Linked DNA regions of Lonchura striata. The protein of the gene in region 2 interacts with the protein of the main gene of each other region in a pairwise test. Links are inferred from orthologs where the notes say so. Each region holds a gene or a part of one and is shown on either strand. Other genes may lie near its edges. The genes, in order: proteolipid protein 2, TMEM79, RPRM and TNMD.

Region 1 (7,927 bases), on a different chromosome or scaffold from region 2:
TCCTCACCCCTCCCGCGATGCCGGCGCCGTCGTGGTGGTCGATGATGACGATGAGGGAGGTGATGAGGAAGAGCAGAGCCCCGATGAGGCAGCGCATGAAGTCCTGGGGGGGCACAGATGGGACCCCTCAGAGAGACCCCCCAAACTTTCTAGGGACCCCCCCAGGAACCCCCAGACTCTCTGGGGACCCCCAGTTCCCAGGGATGCTCTGCAGCTCAGGCACTGCAGGGCCCCCCAACCCTCCCAGAGCCCCCCAAACCCCTCCACAGCCCCCCAATGCTCCTCAAACCCCCCGTAATCCCCCCAAACCCCTCCACAGCCCCCCAATGCTCCTCAAACCCACCGTAATCCCCCCAAACCCCTCCACAGCACCCCAGAGCTCCTCAAACCCCCCCAAATGCCCCCCAAAACCATCCATAGCCCCCAAATTATCCTCAAACTCCCCGTAATCCCCCCCAAACCCATCCACAGCCCCCAATGTTCCTCAAACCCCCGGTAGTGCCCCCAATTCTCCTCAAACCCCCCGTAATCCCCCCAAACCCATCCACGGCCCCCCAGTGCTGCTCCAACCCCCTGCAATCCCCCCAGTGCCCCCCCAGTTCTCCTCAAACCCCCTGTAATCCCCCCCATAATCCCCCCAAATCCTTCCCCAGACCCCCAATGCTCCTCAAAACCCTTGTAATCCCCCCCAAACCCCTCCCCAGCCCCCCAATTCTCAAACCCCCTGTAATCCCCCCCAATTGGCCCCCAAACCCCCAGTAATCCCCCTCCCCAGCCCCCCCAAACCCCTCCCCAGCCCCTCCCCAGCCCCCCAAACCCCCAGTAATCCCCCTCCCCAGTCCCCCCAAACCCCCCCCAGCCCCTCCCCAGCCCCCCAAACCCCTCCCCAGCCCCTCCCCAGCCCCCCAAACCCCTCCCAGCCCCTCCCCAGTCCCCCCCAGCCCCTCCCCAGCCCCCCCAAACCCCTCCCAGCCCCTCCCCAGTCCCCCCCAGCCCCTCCCCAGCCCCCCCAGCCCCTCCCCAGCCGCTCCCCAGCGCTCACGCTCCAGCCCCAGTAGATGAGGGAGAGCCGGGGCGGCAGGCGGCAGCTCCAGGCCAGCAGCACCAGCGCGGCGAAGAGCAGCTCCAGCGCCGCCAGCCCCGCGTAGCCCGAGCGCGACGCCCCGAAGCACGCCAGGGTCAGCGCGCACAGCACCTGCGGGCACGGCGCCTATGGCATCCATAGGGGCAGCCCCGAGCCCCACGGACCCGCCGAGACCCCAGAGGGACCCCGCGGGACGGGCACGGCACGTGGGGGATGCGTGCGGCGTGCCCGATGGGCCCTGTGTTATCTCTGACCCCCACAGAGACCCCACAGTGTGTGCCCCAGCCCTATGGGATCTGTGCATTGTGCCCTATGGGCCCTGTGTGCTCCCCGGGTTATCTCTGAGCCCCCACAGTGTGCCCCAGCCCTATGGGATCTGTGCATTGTGCCCTATGGGCCCTGTGTGCTCCCCGGGTTATCTCTGAGCCCCCACAGTGTGCCCCAGCCCTATGGGATCTGTGCATTGTGCCCTATGGGCCCTGTGTGCTCCACCTGGGCTCCCTGAGCCCCTATGGACCCCATAGAGACCCCAAAATGTGCCCTGCCCTTATGGTCCCCCATTGGGCACTGAGGGGTCACCTATAGACCCCATAGCGCCCCCATGCGGGGTCACCTATAGCCCCCATAGCGCCCCCCTGTGGTGTCACCTATAGCCCCCATAGCGCCCCCCTGTGGTGTCACCTATAGCCCCCATAGCGCCCCTATGTGGGGTCACCTATAGCCCCCATAGCGCCCCCCTGTGGTGTCACCTATAGCCCCCATAGCGCTCCCATGCGGGGTCACCTATAGCCCCCATAGCGCCCCCCTGTGGTGTCACCTATAGCCCCCATAGCGCCCCCATGCGGGGTCACCCATGGGTGTCCGAGCGCCCCCTGCGGGCGGCCGCGGTTCCCCGGTTCGGCCCCGCCCGCGGGGGCGGCGGGGCGGGGCCGTCTCCCGGTAACGGCCGCCATGGCAACGGCACAACAGCGCCCCCCCCCCGCCCTTCAAGGGGCGACGGCGTGGGTGGGGCCCGCCAGGGGCTCTTAAAGGGGCCGCTCCCGGCGGGCGCCGCCCGGGCTGGCGCAATAACGGCTGGAACGGCGGGCCGGGCTCCGCCCCAACCGCCCCTTCCCCCCGGGCGGGCACCGGGCACGTCCGGGCTCCCTCCCCGCTTTCAACCCGGGGCCCTCCGGCCCCGCCCTTTCTCACCTGCCCCGCCCCACCCCCGTTTCCCAAGGGCGTTGCCCCTCCACGCGCCCGAAACGGGAGCGGGAGGCGCGGGGGGAGCGGGTCCCCGCCGCGCCCCACGGCACCGGGGACGCTCTGCGGGGGTGTCCCCCCCGCCCGAGACCCGGGTCCCTCGCTCCACGGGTCGGCCCGAGCGCTCCGACAGCCGGGCATCCCCACCGGGATGGGGACACCCCGAGGATGGGGACACCCCGAGGATGGGGATACCCCGAGGATGGGGACCCTCCCGGAATGGGGACCCTCCCGGGATGGGGACCCCCCGGAACGGGGAGCCGGTGCGGCGGTGTCCCCGATCCCTTCCAAAGCACGGAGCCAGGCGTTCTCCTGACGCCCAAAACTGGGATCCCGCCCTCCCCACAAATAGGGGACCGCACGTGTGGGGGCGCCCCCCAAAAATGGGGAGCCAGGTATCCTGCTGCATCCCCCCCCCAAAACCGGTGATCCCGGACATCCTGTCCCGGTCCCGAGCCGGGACTCGCGCATCCTCCCGGCCCCGAACGAGCGGCCAGGCGTGTCCCCCCCAGCCCAAAGGAGCGGGGCACCGAGTCATCCTGCCCCCCGCACACCGGGACCGGGCCACCGCGCTGTGCCCCGCCCCACGCGGGGCCCGCGCGTGTCCCGGTGTGGCCCCGCCGAGGGTATCCCGCCCCCGCGGTGCCCCGGAGCCCCCGTCCCCCGGCGCCCCCCGCGGCTCACGATCTCGCCGATGAGCACCAGCCCCTTGTGGGTGCGGCTGAAGGCGAGGCAGTTGCCGGGGCAGCTCTGGGGCCCGCTGGACTCCATGGCGGGACCGGGCGGCACCGAACGGGCGGCGGCGGTGGCGGAGCTGAGGGGGGAGCGGGGGGGGCGCCCCGAGGAGCTGGCACGGCGCGGGGGCGGGGCCTGGCGGCGCGCGCCGGCACGCCATTGGCTGGCGGGGCGCGGGTGGGCGGGGCCTGGCGGCGGGGGAAACCCCAATTAGGGATGGGCGAGGGGAGCGCGGGGGGGCGGGGCCGCGGGCGGCGCGCGCCGTCACGTGACCGGGCGGTTAGGGGAGGGGGGAAACCCCGGCGAGGGGTCCCGGGGGGCGGGGCTTGGAGCAGGGAATCCCCTGCGATGATTGGGTCGGGGGTCCCGGGGGGCGGGGCTTGGAGCGGGAAATCCCCTGCGATGATTGGGTCGGGGGTCCCGGGGGGCGGGGCTTGGAGCGGGGAATCCCCAGCGATGATTGGGTCGGGGGTCCCGGGGGGCGGGGCTTGGAGCGGGGACTCCCCTGCGATGATTGGGTCGGGGGTCCGGGGGGCGGGGCTTGGAGCGGGAAATCCCCTGCGATGATTGGGTCGGGGGTCCGGGGGGCGGGGCTTGGAGCGGGGACTCCCCTGCGATGATTGGGTCGGGGGTCCGGGGGGCGGGGCTTGGAGCGGGAAATCCCCAGCGATGATTGGGTCGGGGGTCCCGGGGGGCGGGACTTGGAGCGGGGAATCCCCTGCGATGATTGGGTCGGGGGTCCGGGGGGCGGGGCTTGGAGCGGGGAATCCCCTGCGATGATTGGGTCGGGGGTCCCGGGGGGCGGGGCTTGGAGCGGGGAATCCCCAGCGATGATTGGGTCGGGGGTCCGGGGGGGCGGGGCTTGGAGCGGGAAATCCCCTGCGATGATTGGGTCGGGGGTCCCGGGGGGCGGGGCTTGGAGCGGGGAATCCCCAGCGATGATTGGGTCGGGGGTCCCGGGGGGCGGGGCTTGGAGCGGGGAATCCCCTGCGATGATTGGGTCGGGGGTCCCGGGGGGCGGGGCTTGGAGCGGGGAATCCCCTGCGATGATTGGGTCGGGGGTCCCGGGGGGCGGGGCTTGGAGCGGGGACTCCCCTGCGATGATTGGGTCGGGGGTCCCGGGGGGCGGGGCTTGGAGCGGGGAATCCCCAGCGATGATTGGGTCGGGGGTCCGGGGGGGCGGGGCTTGGAGCGGGGACTCCCCTGCGATGATTGGGTCGGGGGTCCCGGGGGGCGGGGCTTGGAGCGGGGAATCCCCTGCGATGATTGGGTCGGGGGTCCCGGGGGCGGGGCTTGGAGCGGGGAATCCCCTGCGATGATTGGGTCGGGGGTCCCGGGGGGCGGGGCTTGGAGCGGGGAATCCCCTGCGATGATTGGGTCGGGGGTCCCGGGGGGCGGGGCTTGGAGCGGGGAATCCCCTGCGATGATTGGGTCGGGGGTCCCGGGGGGCGGGGCTTGGAGCGGGGAATCCCCTGCGATGATTGGGTCGGGGGTCCCGGGGGGCGGGGCTTGGAGCGGGGACTCCCCTGCGATGATTGGGTCGGGGGTCCCGGGGGGCGGGGCTTGGAGCGGGGAATCCCCAGCGATGATTGGGTCGGGGGTCCGGGGGGGCGGGGCTTGGAGCGGGGACTCCCCTGCGATGATTGGGTCGGGGGTCCCGGGGGGCGGGGCTTGGAGCGGGGAATCCCTCGCGATTGGCGGTGGGCGTGGCCTGCCGCGGGGGCGGCCCCTGAGGGTGGCGGGAAGGGGACCCCGAGGGGCGGGGCTTGGGGGGTCCCGAATTTTGGGGGGGGGTCCCCGGATTTTGGGTGGGGTCTCGGGATTTGGGGGGGTCTCGGGGTTTGAACGGGGTGGTCGCCGGGATTTGGCGGGGTCCCGGATTTTGGATCGAGGGTCCCGGGATTTGGGTGGGGGTCCCGGATTTTGGGTGGGGTCCGGGGATTTGGGGGGGTCCCGGATTTTGGGGGGGGTCCCGGATTTTGGGGGGGGTCCGGGGATTTGGGGGGTCTCTGAGGGGTTTGGGGTCCCCGAGGCCGCTGCCCCCGGAGCCGCTCTCGGTTTTGGGCTGACTCAGCGGATGTGGGCAGCGCCCCGCGCAGGAACCGGGGGGGGCTCCCCGCCTTTACTGAGCACCCCAAAAACCGGGACGGGGGGGGGGGACACCTCCGTGCGACCCCCGGGGGGGGAAGGGAGGGGGGCGGGGCGGGGACCCCTCCCCCATCCCCCTTCCGCCCCGTCCCCCTCCCCCATCCTCCTTCCGCCCCTCCCCCGTCCCCCTCCCCAGCCAGGCTGGGGCTTGGGGGCTCTGGGCTGTACCACTCTGCCGTGGGGGGGGGGGGGAGGCAATGGGGCGTCTTACCGAGTTTGGGGGGCTCTGGGCTGTACCACTGGATTTGGGGGGGCACCGGTGTGTTTGGGGGTCCGTGGGCTGTACCACTGTGCTGGCAGGGGGGTGATTGTGCAGCCGTGTTTTGGGGGGGTCTCGGCTGTACCACTCGGTTTGGGGGGGCATCGGTGTGTTTTGAAAGGCCGTGGGCTGTACCATTTGTTTTGGGGGGGCACTGATGTGTTTTGGGGGGCCGTGGGCTGTACCATTTGTTTGGGGGGGGCACTGGTGTGTTTTGGGGGGCCGTGGGCTGTACCACTGTGCTGACAGGGGGGTGATTTGTGCAGCTGTGTTTTGGGGGGCAGTGGAGTGTACCACTCGATTTTGGGGAGCATTGGTGTACACCCCTGTGGTTTGGGGGGCTCTGGGCTGTACCACTTGGTTTGGGGGGGCACTGGAATACACCACTGTGTTTTTGGGGGCTTTGGACTGTACCACTCGATTTTGGGGGGCACAGGAGTATAGCAGTGTCTTTTGGGGGGCCGTGGGCTGTACCACTGTGCTGGCAGGGGGGTGATTGTGCAGCCGTGTTTTGGGGGGGTCTCTGGGGGCCCCGAGGGGATTTTGGGGGGTCCGAGGTGGGGGGGTCTCACCCTGGGGACGGCGCAGCAGCAGCAGAGCCTCACAGCCCCCCCAGTACAAACCACTACACACCAGTACAGACCAGTTGCACACCAGTATGGACCAGTAACCACCAGTAACACTCCCCAGTGCTCCCATTAACCACCAGTAACACTCCCCAGTGCTCCCAGTAACCACCAGTAACACGCCCCAGTGCTCCCAATTCACTCCAATGTTCCCAGTTCCCTCCCAGTGCTCCCAGTTTGGCTCCCAGTGCTCCCAGTTCTCTCCCAGTGCTCCCAGTTTGGCTCCCAGTTCCCCCAGTTTGGCTCCCAGTGCTCCCAGTGCTCCCAGTTTGGCTCCCAGTTCCCCCAGTTTGTCTCCCAGTGCTCCCAGTTCCCCCAGTTTGCCGCCGTTCCCGTTCCCCGCCCCCCGGTACCCCCGCGGGGTCTCTCCGGCAACGCGCGCGAGGCCGGCGGGCGCGAGCCGCGGCGGCGGGGGCTGAGCGACGGGCGGCTCCGCCAATCAGCGGCCGCAGCGCGCGGGAGGGGGCGGGACGGGCCGCGCCGCCGACACCGGATAGGCGGGCGCTCCGCCAATCAGCGGCCGCAAAGCCCGCGGGGCGGCGCGGAGGCTGCTGGGAGTTGTAGTCCGGCTGGATCGTCGCGCTCTCTCCCACAGGGCCCCGCGGCGGAAGATGGCGGCGGGCGATGGCGCGGCCGAGGCGCCAGGACCGGGGCCGGGGCCGGGGCCGGGACAGGGGCCGGTGTCCTTCTCCTTCAGCCGCAGGGCGGAGCGGCGGCGGCCGCTGCCCGCGGGACCGTGCGCGGAGCCCGGCGCGGGCGGTGACACCGAGAGCGACACCGACTTCCTGACGGCCGTGGAGGGCCGCGAGCTGCTCAGGTGGGCGGGGCTGGAGCCGGCGGGGGCGGGGCTTGGTGAGTTATGAATGGGCACGCGGTCACCGCGTGCGGCGGGTTGGGCGGGGCTAAGACGAGGGGGCGTGGTTTCCGCCCGGGGTTGCCTCTGAGTGGGCGTGGCTAAGGCCGTGTCCCCGCCCCCAGCACGCGGCCGGCCCCGCCCCCCAAGCAGGAGCTGGTGATCCCGCTGATCCCGGCCCGCCGCCGCTGGAACCCCGGGACCACCGGGACAACCGGCACCGGGACCGACCCCGCCCCCGGAACCGGCACCGGAACCGCCCACGGGACTGATCCCACCCACGGAACCGGCACCGCCCCCGGAACCGGCACCGGAACCGCCCACGGGACTGACCCCGCCCACGGAACCGGCACCGCCCACGGGACAGACCCCGCCCCCAGATCTGACCCCGCCCCTTGTACAGGCCCCGCCCATAGTTCTGACCCCGCCCATGGATCAAGCCCCGCCCCCATCAGAAGCCCCGCCCACAGCGCTGACCCCATCCATGGAATAAGCCCCGCCCCCAGCGCAGGCCCCGCCCCCAGTTCTGCCCCCGCCCGTGGACCAAGCCCCGCCCCCCACAGAAGCCCCGCCCCCCACAGAAGCCCCGCCCCCAGCGCCGCCCCCCCCTCGGTGGAGGCTCAGGCGGTGCAGGAGCTGCTGCAGGGTGAGTTTGGGGGTCCCGGGGGTGTTTGGGGTCCCCCTGAGCCCCCTGACCCCCAGCGGGGTCCCGGGGGTGTTTGGGGTCCCCCTGAGCCCCCCTGACCCCCCCTGCCCCCCCAGAGGCGCGGCAGAGCCAGGAGCCCCCCCCGGGCCAGCCCGGCCCCATCATGGCCATCCCCCTGCCGGGGCAGCGGGACAGGGACGTGGGCACGGGGCCGCAGCCGGTGAGACCCCCGGGACCCCCCCGGGACCCCCAAATAGCCCCGGGACCCCCCGGGACCCCAGATAGCCCCGGGACCCCCCCCCGGGACCCCAGATAGCCCCGGGACCCCCCCGGG
Region 2 (8,095 bases):
AGGGACAAACAAGGTGAGACTGGCTATGCAGGGACCCAGGAGTGGGATGCAGGGCTGGGAGAGGAACAGTCTGAGAGAAACATTTTTTCCCTCTTGGAAACATAATTTTGAGGCTGGATGATTACATCCTGTAGGCAAAGCTCTGAGTCATTCTTTGGGGAATTTAACTCACCCTCTGCAAACCAGCCACAGAGCTGCTTGTTAAGGGCTTTATTGGGCAAAGTTGGCTCCAGCAGGAGAGGAAGCAAATCCCACCCCATTCCCAGGGAAGAGCGCTTGCATTGTCCTGCTCTGGCCCTTCTTCAGCTGCAGCAGGAGTCTCGTGGTGCAGAGGGTTTGTAGCCTGGCTCGGTGGGCCCAGCAAAACCTCCCTGTGTCCAGGCAGGGAGCGGGGGCCCAGCTGGATGTGCCAGCACCCCTGTGCTGTCAGGGCTCTTGAGGCAGTGCATGAAGGAGGGCTCAGACTCGTAGGGTGCAGGCGCCCCATCTCCTGGCCTCCCTCAGCCCCAGTGCCGGAGTTTAGCTCGGCTCTCCTTGGAGTGGCCCTCGGGCGTTGGCGTTGCCAAGGACAGGAGGTTCTCGGGCTCCAGGATGAACATGCCATACAGGTTCCAGAGCAGCATGGCCAGGAGCGGCAGGAAGGTCATGCTGAAGCCAAAGGCACGGAAGGAGCGGCCGATGGCGTAGGACATCCAGAAAATCAGCCTGGAGAAGGCAGAGGGTGCGGGCTCAGCCAGGGTGATGCTGTGGGGCTGGCACTCACTGGTTCTGACCAGTGGGGATTTCCCAGGCATGGCTGCCGTAGGAAGAGGAACCCTTCCTGGCTTTGGGGAGCTGCGTAAGGTGCTGCCACAGTGGGAGTTTGCTCCAAGGCACGGTGCTGGCTGGCACTGACAGAGCCAGCAGCCTGGGGTGAAGGAGCCACTTACCGGGAGATGGCGAAGAGCCCTGTGAGCAGTGGGATGAGCTTGAGGAGCTCCTGTGGGAGGTAGGTGGCCAGCACAGCCATGTTGAAGAAGTAGAGGATGAAGAGATGGACAGACTGGGAGACGTAAGTGCGGTGGATCTCCACCTCCTGGTGGAGCTCTCCAAAGGGCTCCAGGGCGGAGGAGCAGAGGCGGGAGATGCCACTGACGATTATTCCTGAGGGACAGAGAGAGAGGCTCAGTGGATGCCCAGTGGAGCCACGGTGGGGTTTGGGTAGAAGCAGGAGGGGAGAAAATCTCCATTTGCTGCTCCTGGTGGGAGCAACAGAGCCACAAAGAGCTCAGCCCCACTCTGCTCCTGCAGCCCCAGGCTCACGTAGCCCAGAGCAGGAGTAAAGCACTCATACCCAAGCCCATGGCTCACCCAGCACGATGGGGAAGGTGGCAAAGGTGGCACAGCGCAATGTGTAGACCAGGCGGGCGCTGACGGTGGGCAGCAGTGGGGCATCGAAGGGCAAGAAGATGTAGGCACCATAGATGAGGCAAGGGCAGAGGAGAAGGGCTCCTGCCACTGATGCCACAGCCTTGAGATTATCAGTGCCACAGTCCCTGGCACACGGGCACCGTGACCCCTCAGCCGGGGGCTTGGCCATGTGCCCCTCAAAGCCCAGTGGGTTCCGGCAGCGCGAGGGGCCAACGGGGAGGAAGACCTGCTTGTGGTGGAGGCTGCTGGGTCTGTCACTGGGGGGGACGCTGGGGGGAACATCCCCCCTGCTCTCCTCCCGGGGCCATGGGGTTGGGTGCTGCTTCTGCTTGATGGGACTCTGCTCGATGCACTGCGGGTCGATGGGCACAAAGACGTGGGCCGCCATCACGGGCAGCCGGGGCACTTCCTCATCTTCAGCCTCGACTGTGGGGCAGGTGGGAGCAGCTTCCTCTGGGTCTTCATGGCCACCCTCAGGACTCGAGCGCCTCTTTGTCTCCACGAGCTCCGGCTGGCCCCAGGCATTGTGCTGACTCTGGTCCCATGGCAGGGTGGAATCAGGGTCCCCCTGGTGCTCACCTGGGGCTGGTGGCACCTTGGCCAGGGCCACCTTCCCCAGCTCCAGCAGAGCCACCTCCTCAGGGGGCTGGACAGGGTCTGCAGCAGCCATGAGAGTGTCCAGCTCCACACTGCCAGGGATGGGGGTTGGTAACACTGCTGCCTGCACTTGTGGTGTTCAGAGGGGATAAAGTTCCTGTCCTTTCTGCTTTCACCCTGGACCAGGAGAAAGGAGACAGATAAATTTACATCAGAAATGAGAGGTTTGGGGTCACATGCACAGCACCAGTTACAAAGTGGGAGCAAACTGGCAGCCCTGGAGCCCCCACTACCCGGCTGTCCTTGCACTAGGAGGGGAAAGCAGTGCCTGGTGTCCCTGTGCTCTGGCCCCTGGCAGCAGGGTCAGGTACTGTCCTGGGAGGGGTGAACTCTGGAGGTGTAGGTCTGGCTGCAAAACAGGGCTGCCTAGGAATAACTTCAACATCCTGGGGGTTCTAGCTGGGCACAACCCAGCAGATACAACTGGCTCCTTGGTGGCTCTCTCCCGGGCCAGGACCAGCCAAGCCCTGGGGAGAGGTGACCTAGCTGCTTCCCAGAACCATGGCTACAGCGGGCACGGGCCAGGTTTGCTGCCTCTTGTAGCTGAGACTGATGTGGGGTGGACAAAAGTGGCTGCTGGGTGCCCTTCCATGGGTGCAGGAGGTACGGGCAGAGCTCCATGTTGTTACCCTTAGGGAAACCTTGTCTCTTGGCCCGTCCTCAGTGTCCTGCCTGCCTCCTGCAATGAACGTTTCTCCTTCGCTCCTCTCAGCACATTGATCCCTGCACCCTCAGGAACTTGGCCTGGCCACAGGTGTGGGGAAACTGAGGCACGGAGCCGCTTGGGGCTTCCTCCGCGACCCACACACGGAACTAGGGCTGAAACAGCTTCCCAGGTTTCCCGTGCCTCCAGCGCCCGGTCCCGGAGCCCAGCCCCTCTGGCAGCCCCCAGCCCCGCTTCCCCCGGGCAGCGCCTCCCCTCGCGGCAGCACTCACTCGGGCTCGGGCGGGGGGCCATGGGGGCAGCTCTGCGGGACCCTGCGGGATTCCAGCGCTCTCCCGGCGCCTCCGCGCCGCGAACCTGCCGAACCGGCTCAGGTGGGGCGGGCGGAGGGGCGGGCGCTCCGCCCGTCCCAGCCCGGCGTGGCCCCGGGGGCTCGGCGGAGGGGACGGGGCGAGCCCGGCGCTGTCCCCCGTGGCAGGCGGGGGACCCCCGGCTCCCTGTGGGCCGCTCGGGGCGTGCCAAGTTAAAGAGCTCTCTAAACACACAGAGAGTTTAAAAAGGGGACGGACAAGTCAGCCCTTGCTCATTCTGCGAGGGTGCGAGGTGGAGCTTTCCACAAATCAAGCGCACCAAGGGTAACACGAAGTTACACCTTCTATACAGTAAAATTTACATTAACCCGTCTAATACACATCACCGCCCACCTAAAGAACATTTATGTATCGTAACCTAACACAATGCTTGAAATACAAAGTCGTTTTATTTTGAGCAACTTTTCTTACAGAAGTTACGTGACGGCACAGTTACGTTTACAGAAGGTGAGAAGGTTCAGCATGAAGACACCACTGCGGGAGCCGCGGCCCCACAGGACCCGCCGGGATGCCTGGCCAGTCCCTCGGGATCCCAGAGCGCGGGGAGGAATTCCTGCGCCGTCGCCCCCGCTCCCGACCCCACAGCCAGGCGGGGTGCTCTGGTGCAGCGCTCGACCCGGGCACCGGGCGGCACCGGGCCCGCCCCGGCACCGGGCCCGCCCCGGCACCGCGCCCGCCCCGGCACCGGGCCCGCCCGCCTGAGGCGGCCGCCGCCATGTTGCCAGCACTAAGTGCGGGCCTCTCGCGCGAGCTGGCTCTCGCGAGACCAGGTCGCCCCCGCCGCCGCCCTGCCCGCCCGGCGCGGCGCGGCCGCGGGAAATCTCGCGAGAGCAGTGAGGGCCAGGGGGCAGCCATGGCGGCCGAGCGGGCCCGGGGGCGGCGGCGGCGGCGGCGCGGGCGGTGCTGAGGGGCCGCGGGGCCGGGCCGGGCCTGCCGCGGGCGCCATGAGCCAGGGTGGCGGGGCCGCCGGCGAGAGCGGCGAGCCGGAGGCCAAGGTGCTGCACACCAAGCGGCTGTACCGGTGAGCAGAGGGGCCGGAGGGGATGCGGTGGCCGAGAAGGGGAGCGGGCTGGCGGACACCGGGGGCAGCCGGTGTCGGGAAGGGGCCGGGGCGGCTCCCGGTGAGGCTGGGGAGGGCCGGCGTGGAGACGGTCGGGGGGTTACTCAGGGGGACGGGGGGTAACTGGGGGTGCCCGAGGAGAGCAGAGGGAGAATGGGGCTGGGCAGCGTCCGGCGGGGACTGGGGGTGACGGCAGCGAAGGGGATTGGGGCGGGGGAGCTTGGGCGAGCCTGGCGAGGAGCAGGGTGAAGGAGGTGGCGGGATATAGGGAAGATGGAAGGAAAGGAGATGAGGGAGTTGTCAGGGAAGGATTCGGGGGGAAGGAGATGGTGGAATCGAGGTAACAGCAGGGATTGATGGAGCGGGGTGGGGAGGGGGCTCCTGAATCCAGGGGAATCCGGGGGAGACTGGGAGAACGAGGGCGAAGGGAATTGGAGGGCTATTCAGAGAAGATGGGGAAAGGAGATTATGGAATTTAGGGAAGACTGAAGTGAAGTTGTGGGGAAATCCAGGGAAAGGATGCAGTGCAAAGGGAGAGGAGAGGGAGGAGGTTTAGGGAAGACCAGGGAAAGGCAATGTGTGGAAGGGAGTTGTATGAGATCCAGAGGGGATAAGCAACACATGGAGGGGTTCCACTGGGGAAAAGGAGTCTGGTGGCTTCAGGGCAGATTAGTCAGACCAAGGGACTGGGGGAAGGAGCTGTGGGAGATCCAGGTAAGATGGGAGAATGGAGAGATAGGGGAAGGAGATAGGTGGGAGACCAGGAAGGGGGTAAGGGGACACCCAGGATAATGAGTAAGGACATGGGGAGGTGGAAAAAGGGATTCAGTGGGATTCAGAGAGAATGGTGGGGGCTGAGTGGAAAGGAGTTGTTGGGATACAGTGGGATAAGGGTGAGATGTGGGGTCATCCAGAGAGAGAGGGGTTGGAGAGGGTGTCCCTGGCTTTGGTACTATGCAGGGATTATGTGAGAAGTGCTGGAGTGGGTGTGATGAGCAGGAGTGTGAGCTGGGACACTTTGCTATTGTGTGGAGGGCAAGACAGCTCCAGCTGCAGATCTTTCCAGTTAAGCACTCCCTGGGACTCTGGTCCCACATTTCTACACCATGCATTGGAAATGGCATCAGAGAACAGGACTGGGGCACTCCTGCTGGCCTTGGTGAGCTCAGGCCCCCTCTGCTCCTGATCTGTTTTGTGAGGGCAGCCCAGAAATTGTTCCTTTCTGGCTCAGATCCACAGGAGTTCCAGCAGCAGCTCTGGGTCTCAAAGATGAGCAAAATGATGGAGACAAGAGATGAATTTTACATGAGGGTCCATTTCTTTTTGTCTTGATGACATTGGCTGTGTCCTTGCACCTTGTGGGACCTCACTGCCTACCTCTACAGCAGGGCAGGGTTTTACCTTGTGATGGAGGTATAGGCTGCACAGTCCTGCCCAGAGCACCCCGGGCTGTGGGGCTCTGTGTCTGCTGCACCTTCAGTGATCTCCACCACATCTGCTGGAGGCTGAGCTAGAGCAGCAGAGCACTGTCCCTGCCCAAGGAGTGTGGGACAGGGCTGGAGAGGATGTGCAGGATGTGTGTGCTTCTGCCTTTGTTGAAACCCTCCTCGTTGTTGTTCAAGACCTGTTTTGCTTTGTTTTCCTGGTGCTGCTCAGCTCATCTGTCAAGTGGAACCTCACGTTCTGCTGCAGCCAGCAAGAGAACGGCCTGTGGCCAGATGAGGAATTGTCATCCCTGCAAGGGAGGGGTTGTTTTCTGTTTGAATTTTTGTAGCAGAATAAGGCGTGTAGTTGCTCTAGAGAGTTCTTACAGCAGAAAAAGAAGCACCCTCCTCCTGCAGGGACAGCTCTTCTTTAGCAGGGAGGAAGCATTGTGATTTTAGTGCAGGATTTATAGTACCTGCAGTGGCCACAAATTTCTATCCTTGTAGCTGACAGTTCTCTGAGCAGGTTCCCACCTTCACAGTCTCCTGTCAGTTCTCATCTGTTCCAGCCTGAAGTGGGAGTTTCCTGCCTGTTGTGTGGTGGCTGTGGTCTGAGAGCTCATGACTGTCCCACTAAGTGGCACCTTTGAGTCACAGATGCGTGAATGCCATAGTCCCAGCTCTAAACTGTGATCCCATGGGATCAGCGTGTTGTCAGCTTGTGGGAGCTGAGCTCAGGTCTCCAAGGTCCTTGGCAGCATGTTGGCTGTCAAGAGTGTCCTTTCAGAGAGGAAGGTGCCCATTGCTTCTCATAGGGTACTCTTTGATCTTTTCCAAGTCTTCCTAGATTGAGAGTTCCCAGGTTTCACCTTGAAATGTGGCAACTGCATTATAATGGGTGCACTTTTACAATGCTTGTTGTAGCGTAAGGTGACCAGGTTTATTTTACAGCTTTCTGGGTAACCATTAGCTCATGGACTCAGTGTTGCTGTTGTTTTGTGGAACCTGTTCCAGAAAGTGTACTGACACATGCCAGAGCACAGCTAAAAGACTTGCAGGTCTTTTCTCTTAATAATGTCTTACTCCTCAGATACTGTGGCTCTTAGTGATGTCCTAAATAAACAGAGGGGACAAATAATTCTCCCTGCTGTCCTGCTCCGTCCCAGAGTGTTAATTGCACGGAGGAAAAGGGGCTGATCAGTGTCTATATGGCTCGAGAAGACTTGGCATTAGCCTGTTTCCACCCTGCTTGGCACCATGTGCTGTATTTGTTTCTTTTAATAGACTGGCATCTGATGTGCCTCCTTTGTGGCTCTAATATACTGTCTGAAAGCAATGTTTAAACACAGCAGGTAGAAAAGTGGGTCCTGGGACAGGATTTCCGTTCTTAACTGCTAGGGAAAGTTCAACCTGTGGTCTTGGACAATTGAGGGCACAGATGCTAAAGTGCATTTCCAGCAGAGCATGGCCCATAGCAGCTGTGTTGGTGTTTCCCAGCATTTCTGGAGTGAGGCTGGCTCCTGTCCCTTTTGTCCTCACTGAGTCCTCTTTCCCCAGCACCACAGATGTGGGATCCTGGCAGGGAATCACCAGCTGTCACATTCTGCTTTACTCCTGCCTTCTTCTCTTCCAGCAGCACCACAGGGCCTGTGTGGATGTGCAGAAGGCAGTGTTTCAGCTGAGGCCTCCCTTAGGGCTGATGAAGTGTGACGCTTCATGACACACATCCTAGTGTCAGCCTTGCTGCTCTCTGGTCACAAACTCTGTTTCTTTACAAACACTGAAAGAACAGCAGAAATACCAAGTGTGTGCATGTGCCCATCCATGGGTTGTTGTATAAAATTAGGTTGTATGGCAGATACCCTCTGGGCCACCTTGATGGGAAGGTGATGTCCTTCTGTCCCCAGAAGGAAACTTTTTTGTACTTCTCATTTGGCAGGCCACTGGGATCATTTTCCACATTGGCTGTTATGGACACGTGTGCTTGTTTCAGATGCACACAGCTGAGATTTGTTGCCCACAGAATGTTATTTTACAGCTGCTTTACTGCTTATGTCAGGAATCAACTATTGTAGTTCTCTCTGGGAATCAAATGAACCAGCAGTTCCTCTTTCCCCTGGTCACCCTTTGTAGAGGAAGCCAGTCAGCTCCTGGTGTGCTGGAAGGGACTTTGAGAGCCACAGCTAGGACAGCAGTCTGAGGCTGTAGTAAGGAGAGGTGCATTGCCTGTGCTTTGTAGGGTTCTGTTGTGGGGAAGCTAAACTGGGGGCTTTTTGGGTTGTCCTAACCCAAATATGAGCTTGCATGGATGCTGCACACTCAGTGCCTGTTACCTGTAAACCAAAATGTATTTTACTTGCTTCTTTCCTGCTATGAGGGTATGAAGCTGTCAGAGTTTGCAAACACCTTTCAGGCCATATGAGAAAGAGGACAGTGAGCAGGAGGGGCTGGTTGTCAAGAATGTAACAAGATTTTTTGTGTGATTCTTACTATCTCCTTGGCTTTCTTC
Region 3 (5,566 bases), on a different chromosome or scaffold from region 2:
GCCTCTCCCACAAGCGCCTCTGGCTTTTTCCACCCCTTCCAGCCCAGCTGCAAATGGATTTCACCTTCTCCATGCCCAGTTTCAACTCCCGATAACCTCTCCTAGGGGTGTCCATTAAATTTCGGGAGCCCGGCCATCTCCACCCCCGGGATAAACCGGGAAGCTCCAAAAGCTTCCAGCACTAAAAACGCGCACAATCGATATTTCCCGGCAGGAATCCGGGCGCCAGGAGAGCGATTTTCCCCCCGCAGGTTGTTGGAGCCTCTGCGACCCCATCCCGCTGCCGGGATTCCCGGGAAGCGCCTCTGGAGCTCCCGCTGCTCCCGGAGCCGCTGGGGAGGCGCGGATTTATCCAGGAGCCGCTGGGAATGGGAAAAACACCCCGGGAAGATCCCTGCGGAGGAATGGGGATGGAGGGAGACATCCAAATCCCGTGGGAGCAGCGGCTTCTCCCTCCCTGCACCGCGCCCGCGCCAAGTCACCTGTTGGTCCGGCTCGGAGCTGGGATAATAAATCCTGGATTTTGTGCTTTCCCAGAGCCAAAATCCCGCTGTATTCCCGGGCAGGGGATCCCCCGGGCTGGGCTGGGCTGGGCTGGGCGTTTTCCCCGGCCACAGCCGCGGTCCAGGGGCAGGAGCGCAGTTCCCGCATCTCCCGGCGCGCAGGGATGCGGGGGGCGGAAAAGCGCTGGGAAAAGGCTGGAAAAGCGCTGGAAAAGGGGAAATTTAGGCCGGCTGGACGGGAAATCCCGCGGGGACGGGCTGGGAGGGACAGGGGAAGCTTCATCCCGGGCGCTGCCCGCTGCTCTCCGCCGCATCCCGGGACTCGCGGCGGCAGGGAAAGGGAAGGGAAAGGGGAAAGGGGAAGGGAAAAGGAAGGGGAAAGGGAAGGGGAAAGGGTGGAGGCGGACGGAATAAGGAGCCCAGACCTGTTGCCATCAGAGCACGCTTTACTTCGGCAGCCGCGGGCGGCGGAACCGGGCCGGGATGGGCCGGGCCGGGCGGCTGCGGCCACCCTGAACAAATCCCGACCTCCGGCATCCCGGGATCCATCCGAATGCCTGGCGTTTTTCAGGAGGAAAAGCTCCGAGCCGAGCCCGCGCGTTCTCGGGAGGGCTGCGGGCGGTCAGTCCGGTCAGTCCGGTCACTCCGGTCAGTCCGGCGGTCAGTCCGGTCACTCCGGTCACTCCGGTCAGTCCGGCGGTCAGTCCGGTCACTCCGGCGGTCAGTACGGCCCCACCACCACCGCCTCCACCTCCTTGGACGGGCGGCGCTCCTTGACCAGAAAGTTGATCATGCCCTCGGACTTGATGAGGAGGTTGCAGCCGAGGAAGAAGATGCCGAACACCACGGTGAGGGCCAGCACGCACATGACGGCGATCTGCACCACGCGCATGATGTACACGCTGCGCTCGTCCGCGCCCGCGCCGCTGCCGTCGCTCACCACGGAGGCGGCGGTGCAGCAGCGCAGCGCCCGCTCCAGCTCCAGCGCCGCGGCCCCGGCCCCCGCCAGCAGCCCCGCCGCCGCCGCGGAGCCGTTCGGGGCCACCGGGGCTCCCGGCGAGCCGCTCGGGGCCACCGGGGCTCCCGGCGAGCCGCTCGTCCCCGCTGGAAGCCCCGGCGGCAGCCCCGCCGCGGAGCCGTTCATCCCTGCCGGCAGCCCCGCCGCCGCCGCCGCCGCATGCAGGCGGCCCGAGCCGGGCCGGGCGGAGCCGTGCCGAGCCGTGCCGAGCCCAGGCGGGCCGGGCGGAGCCGTGCCGAGCCGTGCCGAGCCCAGCCTGGCCGCTCCGCGCTGCCCGCCCGGCACCGCCCGCTCCGCTCCGCCCCGCGGGCAGCCGGGGAGGGACCGGGAGGGGAGGGGAGGGAGGGTTTGGGTGGGAGGGGAGGGGAGGGAAGGGATGGAGGGAGGGAGGGTTTGGGTGGGAGGGGAGGGAGGGAAGGGAGGGGAGGGGAGGGAGGGAGGGTTTGGGTGGGCAGGGAGGGGAGGGAAAGGGAAGGGATGGGAGGAGGGAGGGTTTGGGTGGGCAGGGAGGGGAGGGAAGGAGATTGGGATGGAGGGAGGGAGGGTTTGGGTGGGCAGGGAGGGATGGAGAGGGATTGGGATGGAGGGAGGGAGGGTTTGGGTGGGCAGGGAGGGATGGAGAGGGATTGGATGGAGGGAGGGAGGGTTTGGGTGGGAGGGGAGGGAGGGAAGGGGATTGGGATGGAGGGAGGGAGGGTTTGGGTGGGCAGGGAGGGGAGGGAGGGGAGGGGAGGGGGAGGAGGGAGGGGAGCAATGGAGGGAGGGTTTAGATGAGGAGGGAGGAATGTGAGGGAAGGGAGAGGGGTTAGGATGGAGGGAGGGAGGGTTTGGATGGGGAGGGAGGGGAGAGGGGTTGGGGGAAGGGGAAGAAGGGAGGAGGAGGGTTTGGGGTGGAGCGGAAAGGGAAGGGAGAGAGGTGGGAGGGAGGGGAAAGGGTCAGGGAAGGGTTTGGGGGGACAGAGGAGGGGTCGGGAAGGGGAGCGGCTTTGGGGAGCAGGGGGGGGCCGTGGGGCGCGGAGGGGCTGGGAGGGAGGATTCGGGGATCAGGAGAATGGGATTGGGGCTGGCAGAGCTGGAATGGGGCCGGGGGGATGTGAGGGGCGTTTAGGGGATGGGTTTTGATGGGAGAAGTTTGGAGCGGGATGAGGAGGAGGATGGGGGGCAACGGGCCAGCGGGAATTCTGCCCGTGGGATTTGTGCTGGGTTTTGGCAAGCGGATCTCAGGGATGGATTTCCTGAGGGAGGGGGCTTTGGGAAGTGGCTCTGGGGGAATGGCGTTTCGGAGCGTTTTTAGGGGAATTCGCAGAGATCAGATTTTGTGGGAGTGGGATTTCCCACCTGGGTTTCTGCCTGTGCACTCCCAGGGAAGCGGGGAGGGGTTTTTTTTGGGAAAACACATTTTGGAGGAGGTTTCCGTGCTGAGGGATGCAGGGCCAGTCCTGGGAACTGCGGGAAGAGCCAGAGCAGCCCTTTGGGGCCCTGTGGGTGGGCTCGGGTGGTGGAGCCCCCGTTCCCCAAATTCCCCCAGCTCTGTTTCCATGGAAGATCCAGCTCCGCGTGTTTCGGAGCCTCCCCGTGGTCGGGGGCGGTGCCGAGGGAGCGGCGACAGCCGGGTGGGACCCCGGGGACCCCCGGAGCCCACTGCCCATCCCTGCCGAGCCGCCCGGGCACCCCCGGGATCCAAACCCCTCCCAGGCGCCTGGAATTGCTGGGAATTCTCGTCCCCCTCCGCCCAGCCCGGGGCCGCTCCAGACCAGTTTCCCACGGCTGGTTTTGGGGTTTTGGGAAGAGCTGGGGGGTGGCGGCAGCTCCCGAGGGCAGGGCCGGGCGCTGGGGGAGTATCCCGGGATTTCGGATTCCCGGAGATGGGCACGGCCAGGGATCAGGGATCAGCTCCGGCCCGGCCATGACTTGGAGATTTCCTGAGCAGAGCGTGAGCTGGGAGCTTAACCCTGCGCTGTCCTTCCCGAGTGGGATGGGATCACCCCAAACTACCGCAGGGATCAGTGTGGGATCATCCCAAACTGCCCCAGGGATCTTCCTGGGATCATCCCAAACTGCCCCAGGGATCCCTGTGGGATCATCCCAAACTACCGCAGGGATCTGCCTGGGATCATACCAAACTACCACAGGGATCAGTGTGGGATCATCCCAAACTGCCCCAGGGATCCCTGTGGGATCATCCCAAACTGCCCCAGGGATCCCTGTGGGATCCGTGTGGGATCAGTGGGGCTGGGACAATCCCTCCCACGGGGGTGAGGTGGTCCTGGGCCACCTGGGGATTTCCTGGGATGTTCCTCACGGGAATAACCCGCTGGAGAGGCCAAGGCCTGGAGGGAGGATGTGTGCCAAAGCCCTTCCAGCTGCTGCGTCCTGCTGCGGTGGCACTTGGGGTGGCACTTGGGGTGGCACTTGGGGTGGCACTTGGGGTGGCACTTGGGGTGGCATTTGTGGTGACACTTGTGGTGGCACTTGGGGTGGCATTTGTGGAGACACTTGGGGTGGCACTTGGGGTGACACGGGGTGGCATTTGTGGTGACACTTGGGGTGGCACTTGGGGTGGCACTTGGGGTGGCCCTGGGCACTCAGCGCTGGGGCAGTTTTGGGGCTTTTCCAAGAAGCCATTCACGGTTCTGCCATGAGCTGGGTGGCGGATGTCACCCGTGGCCCTGTCCTGTCCCTGCCGTGCTGGCCCCGCTCCCGCGGCCGCGGGAACGTTCTGTTTTCCTGCGGGAAGGGAAGATGGGATTGACTCTGAGGAGCCAAGGGAGGCCTGGCAGCTCCTGCAAGGGAGGGAGAGCTGGAAGAGCTTCTGGAAGAGCAGCGTTCCCGATGGGAGCGTGGCTCTCTCCATGCCCAGCAGGCGCGTGCCTCGAGCTCTGTCCTTGGGCTCGTCACCTCCAGCCCTTGGCAACTCCGCAGGGAATTGCTTCCCATCCCCGGGTTATGGCAGGAACAGTCCCATCCCGAAATTATGGACAAGGACAATCCCATCCCGAAATTATGGATAGGAACAATCCCATCCCCGGGTTATGGCAGGAACAGTCCCATCCCGAAATTATGGACAAGGACAATCCCATCCCGAAATTATGGACAAGGACAATCCCATCCCGAAATTATGGATAGGAACAATCCCATCCCCGGGTTATGGCAGGAACAGTCCCATCCCGAAATTATGGACAAGGACAATCCCATCCCGAAATTATGGACAAAGACAATCCCATCCCGAAATTATGGATAGGAACAATCCCATCCCCGGGTTATGGCAGGAACAGTCCCATCCCGAAATTATGGACAAGGACAATCCCATCCCGAAATTATGGACAAAGACAATCCCATCCTGAAATTATGGATAGGAACAATCCCATCCCTCAATTAGGACAGGAACAATCCCATCCCCAAGTTATGGCAGGAACAATTCCATCCTGAAATTATGGACAAGAACAATCCCATCCCCAGGTTATGGGCAGGAACAATCCCATCCCAAAATTATGGATAGGAACAATCCCATCCTGAAGTTATGGCAGGCACGATCCCATCCCGAAATTAGGACAGGAAAAGTCCCATCCCTAAATTATGAGAGGAACAATTGGAGGCAGGAAGGCTCCTGTTCCCTCCTCCCGGTCCCCCCATCCCGGTCCCATTCCCATTCCCTGTCCCCCCATCCCGGTCCCATTCCCATTCCCTGTCCCCCCATCCCGGTCCCATTCCCGGTTCCTGTCCCACACATCCCGGTCCCATTCCCCGTTGCCGTTCCCCCATCCCGGCCCTGTTCCAGCCTCATATCCCGGAATGCGGAGCGGGGCCGGGATTGCCGGGAGAGGAGTGACACCTAGTGACGCTCGGGACACCGGGATATTGGGACACCGGGATCCAGGCACCGGGATACCAGGATCCAGGCACTGGGATATCGGGATCCAGGCACCGGGATACCGGCATCCAGACATCGGGATATCGGGATCCAGGCACCGGGACACTGGGATCCAGGCACCGGGATATGGGATATCGGGATCCAGGCACCGGGATATGGGATATCGGGATCCAG
Region 4 (8,009 bases), on a different chromosome or scaffold from region 2:
CTCTCCCAGCAGCAGGCAAGTTCGAGGGCTGCACTGGAGGTGGGCACAGTGGGGTCCCTCGGGTGCTGCAGCTCTGTGTTGCTCCTTGGCCCCAGCCAGGAGCAGCTGCCACCCCTGCCAGCAGTGAGAGCTGCCTGGCACCATGTGCCACAGTAAATGATATGATTTACTCACTACCTGTGGAATTGCCCAATTAATTCACTATCCACATTAATATTATGGCTCATTTTTAACTTTACTGTCTCCATCGTTCCAATTTAGTGCTGCTCAGAGATGCTGCCACTGACCTTAATGAGTTTTTCATTATAACAAAGAGCACGATATTAATCACGAGGGGCTTTCAGCTGGAGGTTGCTGCCCAAACCCCACTGCTTTGAGGAGCTGCTTTTTAGTGGTTTGGGGACCTATTTTATTTCTGCCAGGCTGCTCAGCCCCGCTCACACCGTGTGCAATCCTTTGCGCTGTCCAGGAGGAATTTCTCGCTATAACATTTCCAGGCACAGAGATTTTATGCAGCAGTCAAGCTACGCTGCAGATATGATAGATTTTTCTGGGCAAATTGGAACACAGAGTAGAAAACTGAAAGGATGCACCAGTCATAGCCAATGAGCCTCTTATTGTCCTGTATAAAAATCAAATGCCTTTTAATCATTTCAAATGTTCTTCTGGGTATCAATTAGTCACACATTAATATCAGTATTGCTTCTCTTCCTCAGTTCACATCAGATTAAATTCTCCCCTGTCATATACACTCGCTCTCATTAGCTTCATGGAAAATTAGTAATTGTTCCCTCTCCATTGGCATTGATGGGAGATTTTCATCAGAACTGCTTTTATACAGAGAACCTGCTTATCATCTTAAGGATACTAAGAGATTTTCCCCCAAAATTATTGTCTTTTCATAAAAATACTTTTTTTTTTTTTTTCTCTGAAACCCTGAAGTCTGAGCCAGAGCACTGGGGAATGGGTGAAAAAAACCCCACCATTTTTTATGAGTGTCATCCTGCAGTTTCTGCCCCTGTCTGCATCCCAACCATGTGTCTCCTGTCAGGATCCAGTGTCTGTAACACGGCCACAGGGGCTGAGGGGGGACCCCAGGGGTTGCAGAGGGGTTTGCTGCTCTCAAAGCCCCGATCCAGGCTGGCTGTTCACTCTGGGGGAGCAGCAGTGTGGAGGGCTGGGATCCTGCCCCTGCCCTCCGTGGGGCAGCCCGCTCTGTGCTGAGCGTGCCCGTGGGTGTGTGAGCAGTGCCCGTGGGTGTGTGAGCAGTGCCCGTGGGTGTGCCAGCAGTGCCCATGGGTGCACGAGCACTGCCCGTGGGTGTGTGAGCAGTGCCCGTGGGTGTAGGAGCAGTGCCCGTGGGTGTGTGAGCAGTGCCCGTGGGTGTGCCAGCAGTGCCCGTGGGTGTGTGAGCAGTGCCCGTGGGTGTGCCAGTGGTGCCCGTGGGTGTGTGAGCAGTGCCCGTGGGTGTAGGAGCAGTGCCCGTGGGTGTGTGAGCAGTGCCCGTGGGTGTGCCAGTGGTGCCCGTGGGTGTGTGAGCAGTGCCCGTGGATGTAGGAGCAGTGCCCGTGGGTGTGGGAGCAGTGCCCGTGGGTGTGTGAGCACTGCCCATGGGTGCACGAGCAGTGCCCGTGGGTGTGTGAGCAGTGCCCGTGGGTGTGCCAGCAGTGCCCGTGGGTGTGCCAGCAGTGCCCGTGGGTGTGCCAGCACTGCCCGTGGGTGTGCCAGTGGTGCCCGTGGGTGCACGAGCAGTGCCCGTGGGTGTGTGAGCACTGCCCATGGGTGCACGAGCACTGCCCGTGGGTGTGGGAGCACTGCCCATGGGTGTGCCAGCAGTGCCCGTGGGTGTGGGAGCGGTGCCCGTGGGTGCACGAGCACTGCCCGTGGGTGCATGAGCAGTGCCCATGGGTGCACAAGCACTGCCCGTGGTTGCATGAGCAGTGCCCATGGGTGTGTGAGCACTGCCCGTGGGTGTGCCAGCAGTGTCCGTGGGTGTGTGAGCAGTGCCCGTGGGTGCACGAGCAGTGCCCGTGGGTGTGGGAGCGGTGCCCATGGGTGTGTGAGCACTGCCCGTGGGTGCACGAGCAGTGCCCGTGGGTGCATGAGCAGTGCCCATGGGTGTGTGAGCACTGCCCGTGGGTGCACGAGCAGTGCCCGTGGGTGCATGAGCAGTGCCCATGGGTGTGTGAGCACTGCCCATGGGTGCACGAGCAGTGCCCATGGGTGTGTGAGCAGTGCCCGTGGGTGTGTGAGCACTGCCCATGGGTGTGTGAGCAGTGCCCGTGGGTGCACGAGCAGTGCCCGTGGGTGTGGGAGCGGTGCCCGTGCCCACCCCGCTGCTCCTCCAGGCAGCAGTGCCCATCTGCAGCACCAGCAGGGCTCCAGCCCAGCCCTGGGTCCCCCACCACCCACCCTGGCCTCTCCATCCCAGCTCTGCCGGCGCTGGAAGGGGCCTGTGATATTTATTGAGTTTTATGAACTCCAGCCCTGGGAGCTTCTCACCTCTTGCAGCTATTTCAGACACCCGACTCCTGATGGAGTTACAGTGATTGCCATTAAAAAGCTTGACATTTACCTTACAACAGTAATAAAATAATAATGCCTAATTTGGTTTATGAGTGGTATTTGCAGTGTTTCCTGTGCCTTGAGTGGGGGATATGGTGAAGATCTGCTGATCAATTATGTCTGCTTAGCAGCACTGCTGTAATTCTTTCCTGTAATCAGAACCATCTTTCAGTAGAGCTGCTCCAAAGTTTTCCTCTGAAACTCTAATTTTGACAAGAAAAGAGAATGTTTTCAAATACTTGAGTTTCCAGTGAATAACAAAAGCTTCTGAGATGGAACTTTCTGGTGGGAAGTGGAGACAGACAAACGTGGTGTCTGCACAGATTTGCTGCATTTAGATTTACAAAACCCCTCAGGATGTTTTCAAAGGCTGCCTATGATTGCTTTCCCTTAAAAAGAGCTTTTTTTCTCCTCCAAATGACCTTGTCAGTAGGATTCTGTTATTGCCATCCCAAATTTGAACCCCCCACCACTGTGTTTTACTGCCCTGGACTGCTGAGGGGCTGTGGGGTGAGGATTCCCTGCTGCTCTGGGGCCAGGAGCCCAAACCCTTTGCAGGGAGCAGATGCACACCAGGGCACACCCCCAGCACACATGTGTGCACAGTGCTCTCCCCAGGCTATTCAGAATCTCCACTTCTGACCCCTGGTTGCAGGCAGCAACATCCCAATGCTCACAAAGCCAGTGCCAGACCTGCTAAAAGCAATTTCTTTCTCCATTTCTCATCCTGAGCAAAATTCGATGTGGATTTTCTTTTTTCAGTGCAATTTTAATTAGTGCATGATGCACTTTGGGTTTTTATTAGAGTAAACAGCTTGGAAAAAAAGTCCATGCCAGCTCTTCTACACCAGGGAGTCTCATCCTGTTCAGACCAGAAACCTCACGCTGGATTTCTGAAAGCCTTTCTTAAGATGGGTTCATTTCCATGAAGAAACGCTACGACTTCAACAAATGGAAATTTTTGAACATAGAAAAAAAAAGGAAAAAAAAAATTAGTCAGGAAATTCCTGGCTAGGCTGACTTTGGGGTAAGGCTGTGCATGAGAGGGAGAGCTGAGGGCTCCCCACACACACACGGGCTGCACAGGAGGGCACGCATGGCCACATACAGCCTGCTCACCTGTGTGCACACATGGAATACACCTGTGTGCACACACCACATATCTGTGTTCACACATCACACTCACCTGTGTGCACACATCACACACACCTGTGTGCACACACCACATATCTGTGTGCACACATCACACTCACCTGTGTGCACACATTGCACTCACCTGTGTGCACACATCACACTCACCTGTGTGCACACATCCAATACACCTGTGTGTACACATCAAATACACCTATGTGCACACATTGCATTCATCTATGTGCACATATCACAACACCTGTGTGCACACATTGCACTCACCTGTGTGCACACATCACACTCACCTGTGTGCACACATTGTGCTCACCTGTGTGTACACACATGTGGCCTGCCATGCCCATGTCCCCTGCCATGTCTGTGCCCCTGCCACATCTGTGTCTCCTGCCATGCCCATATTCCCCTGCCATGCCCATATTCCCCTTGCCATGCCCATGTCCCTGCAATGCCCATGTCCCTGCCATGCCCATGTCCCTGCCATGCCCATGTCCCCTGCCATGCAGGGACCCCAGTGGCAGCTCCGGGGCTGTTCCCACACACACATGAACACCGCAGCAGTGTCCCTGTCCCCGGGCTCATGGGGCACCGGCAGTGTGGGCACCTCCAGCCATTGGCACGTGGGCCCCAGCGCAGGGCAGAAGCAGAGAGCGAAGGAGAGCGGCCCTGGCCGCGTGTGACAGCCACCACACTGGGCTCCGCGTCCAGCGGCGTGGGAACGGCGGGGCCGTGGGGCCAGCAGCTGTGGCACAGCTGGCTGTCCCTCCGTGGGGGTGGCCGTGGCCCAGCCTTCCCACCGCGTGTGCAGCCAGAGCGTCTGTAACTCCACCTCGGAGCGGGCTGGCTCCTCGCACACGGAGGAGACCATGGGAGGCTCGGCTCGGCGCAGCCCGGAGGACTGCCGCTTTCTGGACGTGAGTGCACGGCTTGCCTTGCCCCCTGCATGCCTGCGGTGCCAGAAACGGCTGAGACGTGGTGCCCTCGTCCTGCCGGGAGCCCCGGGCACAGCCTGGCTAGCGCTGCTTTGTCATCAATAGGCAGAGGCAGCCAAGCCTCCGAAGAAGAGCTGCCCCAGGTACCAGCTCTGTGGACTGCTCTTCAGCGTGCTGCTCCTTTCCCTTATTCTGATATTTTTTGGTGTCAAATACCTCTGGAACCCAGCACCCAGAAAAGTAAGTAAAACCCCTTTGATCCGGTATTTCAGAGCGTTGCTTCCCCAGACAGAGCTGTCCCCCTCCCCTTGACTCGCTGAAACTTTTAACAACTCTCCAAAACCCAGGCAACTTCACAAAATGCATTTTCTCAGACCACAGGTATTCATGGGACTTTTAAAAATCTTTGTATTATTCATAACTAGCTTTTACTTTATGCAGGCTGGTTTTTTTCCCCTGTCACTGCTTTCTTTCCCCAGTTGACAATTACAGGGGATGGGAGCTACGCCACGAAGAGTTAAAGTTTCTCTTACTTCACCGGCAGCAAATTTTATGACAAGTAAGAAAATATTTTCCATTTCATTTCAATTATCTTGCCAGAAACCGGTGGAAAAGTCATTATGCCACCGCATAAAGAGGAGAGAAAGCCAGGACGCAGTGGTGATTGATTGTCATGGATTATATTTCTTACTTTAATGTGTCTGCAATGTGAGGGACGGTGAGACGGATTAGCTTCTGGAGGAGCTGCTGCTAACTGGATTGGGCTCCTTTATTGCCAGCTGCAGACGGACGCTGCTGTGGTGCCGGGGCGGCAGCAGGGCTGTGCATCCCCAGCCGTCCCTGCCCGCTGCCACCCGCCATCCTGGCAGTGCTGCCAAAGCCCTTCTTTATCCCACGCCCCAAGCAAATCCTTTAACCTTGAAACCCACAGCCTGCCTGCTGCCCCTCATCCTCCTTTCCTTCGAATTTCCATGCTCATCCAGGAGGCCCCGCTCTGCACCCCATCTCCAGTGGGTTTTGCTGGCTCTTGAGAACATCTCCAAAATTCCTGTGCACAGCCAAGGCAGCCTCTTTCCCACACTGGCATCTCCAATGTGCTCCCTGCACTGTCCTGGAGCTGCTCCAGCCTGGCCAGGCCGCCCTCCTGCCGGGCAGAGGAAGCATCCTGCTCGCTGGAAACTTTATCTTCTTATCAGCAAATAGAAATAAATACCCCCTGAAATAAAAGGAAAAACAATAAAAGCCATATGCTCCTCCAGAATCCTGCCAAGACGATTATAAAGTCTCTACTGTTCCTAGAAAAACAGGGGTGATGCCAGCCATGAGGGGAAGAGGCTGTTAACCCCTGGAGGGGCGGTTTGCTCCAAGCAGAGACAATGCCACAGCCTCAGGAAGGACATCCAGAGCCCCGGCCCACGGTGTGCTCACCGGTGGAGGACGGGGTCCATGCAGCACTCCCCAACACCTGATGGGCAGGCAAGTGGGGTGTGAGGCCACGAGAAAGGAGAGCTGTTCCTGCAGCAGAGCTGCACACAGACACTCCCCGAGCCCAGCACTGCCCTGTCCCTGTCCCTGTGGGGCTTCTCCAGCTGGCCCGGGAGTCCTCAGGACAAACAGGCTGGGGGGGCTGGAAGTTGGTAACACTCAAAAATATCAGCCAAGAGGAATTAAACTCTTTAAAGAAGATGAAACCCTTCAAGCTTCCTTCATGTAACTGGAGAGTGGAAAAAAACTTGAAAGAAGGTTGTTCCTCCGAGGGGTGGCCTTGGACACGGCTCTGCCCTCTGCACAGCAGCCTCCTCACCAGCCAGCACAGCTGATGATTCAGCTAACGAGGGGTTCATCACAGCCTTGCAGAGGGCCATAATTCAACCATTCACCAGCAAGTGTCATTTTTAGCCCTATAAAACATCTCATAGCGCTGTGAGCAGCGCAGAGCTGGCAAAGCCCAAGTGGGTTAGCTGGCCGCTGTGCTGGCCAGAGTAATTCTTTGTACTTGAAGGTAAGGTGCCACCCGGGATCCTGCCCTCCTTGAGATGATTTATGGCACTGGGTGCATTTTGTCAGTCAAAACCAGCCGCCTTTCACCCATTTTAGGCTTCAGACTGTTTTACCGTATCATAAAATCCATGGAGAGCTGTATATCTCTACAAAGTCTTCCTGCAGACCGACAGGAGGTGTCCGTGCCTGCCCAGGCGCACATCACTCCTCTAACCTTTGAGAAGGGGTGTGAATGTTCCCATCACTCCCATCTGCACAGGCAGTTCTGCAGCCAAAGGAGATACCAATGCTGGAACACTGCTAAGAGGCTTTGAACCCCAAGGGGAGGGATGTGCAGGAACCCGGGCACTGTGAAAGGGGTTTGGGCTGGCACTAAGGGCAGAGCTCCTGCCCCACACCAGTGGGCCAGCACGCTCCTGCTCTGGTTCCACGGCCATGCCGTGGGATGAGCAGGGCTCTCCCATCCCCGTGCCTCCATCCCTGCCTGGTGAACTGGAGGGGATTTGCACGAGCCCTTCTCTTCCACGCAGTTCCGTTCGGGAAGCGAGGCTCCCCAGGGCCCGCCAGCAGGATCGTTTTTGTGCTTCAAATAGCATCTGCCGCTGCTCATCCATCCCGCAAGGGTCAGGCATGCAGAGAGCGAGGCTGCCCTGCCAGCGGGAGCGCCGGCTGCTCCCCGGGGACCCGCGCCGCCGGGAAGCGCTGCCAAAGCCGGAGCTCTGCAGCAGCCTCCAGGAGGTCTTTGATCCGCAGGCAATCCTTGATCTCCTCCAGGCAGAGAGAGGCTCATCCTCTGCCTTTCAGGAAAAACAGAAGGCACAGAGCTGGAGCGAGTAAGCTGGGCAGGACACGGGGGAGCAGGTGAGCCGGGACACCGTGATGGAGCAAAGGAGCCAGGGATGCAGTGTGGAACAGCAGGCCAGGGAGAAGGCAGAATGAAGTGCCTGTGGGCTCGGGGCTTCAGTCCAGCCTGGATGTCACCAGGCTCATGCCACAGAAAGCACCAGCGAAGGCTGAGCTGGGCAAAGCTCCTGCTGCAGGTGTAGGAGGTGCATCTCCTCCCAGGTTTGACACACATCCCAGACTTGATGCTCAGTCCCTCATCCTGGCTGCAGCCTGCCCTTTCACCAGCCCAGGCTCCCCCTGGGAGCTGCCTCCCCTCGTGCTGTCCCGGTGATTGCTGTGAGGGAGCACCAGTCCCACGGCAGGGTCCCCAGCAGTGGTGCCACACACCCAGCACAGCCTGTCTGCCCGCTGGACAGCCTGTGAAACCAGAGGGGTGCTCAGCTGAGCCCTGTGTGACTTTGGCCTCCCAGGTTTATGACATGGAGCACACGTTCTTCAGCAACGGCCAGAAGAAGAAGA

What was found.
Region 1: the proteins of TMEM79 (region 2) and proteolipid protein 2 interact in binary tests that used the Homo sapiens proteins (3 or more experiments, as listed by UniProt). The two-hybrid records come from large-scale screens. The link is inferred for Lonchura striata from reciprocal best matches to the Homo sapiens genes TMEM79 and PLP2.
Region 3: the proteins of TMEM79 (region 2) and RPRM interact in binary tests that used the Homo sapiens proteins (3 or more experiments, as listed by UniProt). The two-hybrid records come from large-scale screens. The link is inferred for Lonchura striata from reciprocal best matches to the Homo sapiens genes TMEM79 and RPRM.
Region 4: the proteins of TMEM79 (region 2) and TNMD interact in binary tests that used the Homo sapiens proteins (3 or more experiments, as listed by UniProt). The two-hybrid records come from large-scale screens. The link is inferred for Lonchura striata from reciprocal best matches to the Homo sapiens genes TMEM79 and TNMD.

The regions. Positions count from the first base shown.
Region 1 is NC_134638.1:2,178,700-2,186,626, reverse strand, and holds the start of proteolipid protein 2, read right to left. Parts: upstream 3,127-7,927; 5' UTR 3,098-3,126; coding exon 3,011-3,097; intron 1,196-3,010; coding exon 1,043-1,195; intron 104-1,042; coding exon 8-103; intron 1-7. Other genes in the region: GPKOW (G-patch domain and KOW motifs-containing protein), read left to right, coding at 6,706-6,911, 7,073-7,593, 7,710-7,813. UniProt on the Homo sapiens protein: May play a role in cell differentiation in the intestinal epithelium.
Region 2 is NC_134635.1:1,095,460-1,103,554, forward strand, and holds TMEM79 (transmembrane protein 79), read right to left. Parts: upstream 3,099-8,095; 5' UTR 3,004-3,098; intron 2,185-3,003; 5' UTR 2,081-2,184; coding exon 1,351-2,080; intron 1,144-1,350; coding exon 930-1,143; intron 706-929; coding exon 501-705; 3' UTR 196-500; downstream 1-195. Other genes in the region: nonsense-mediated mRNA decay factor SMG5, read left to right, coding at 4,047-4,123.
Region 3 is NC_134610.1:1,354,459-1,360,024, reverse strand, and holds RPRM (protein reprimo), read right to left. Parts: upstream 1,703-5,566; 5' UTR 1,648-1,702; coding exon 1,225-1,647; 3' UTR 932-1,224; downstream 1-931. UniProt on the Homo sapiens protein: May be involved in the regulation of p53-dependent G2 arrest of the cell cycle. Seems to induce cell cycle arrest by inhibiting CDK1 activity and nuclear translocation of the CDC2 cyclin B1 complex.
Region 4 is NC_134616.1:929,432-937,440, reverse strand, and holds the start of TNMD (tenomodulin), read left to right. Parts: upstream 1-4,577; coding exon 4,578-4,625; intron 4,626-4,748; coding exon 4,749-4,883; intron 4,884-7,960; coding exon 7,961-8,009. UniProt on the Homo sapiens protein: May be an angiogenesis inhibitor.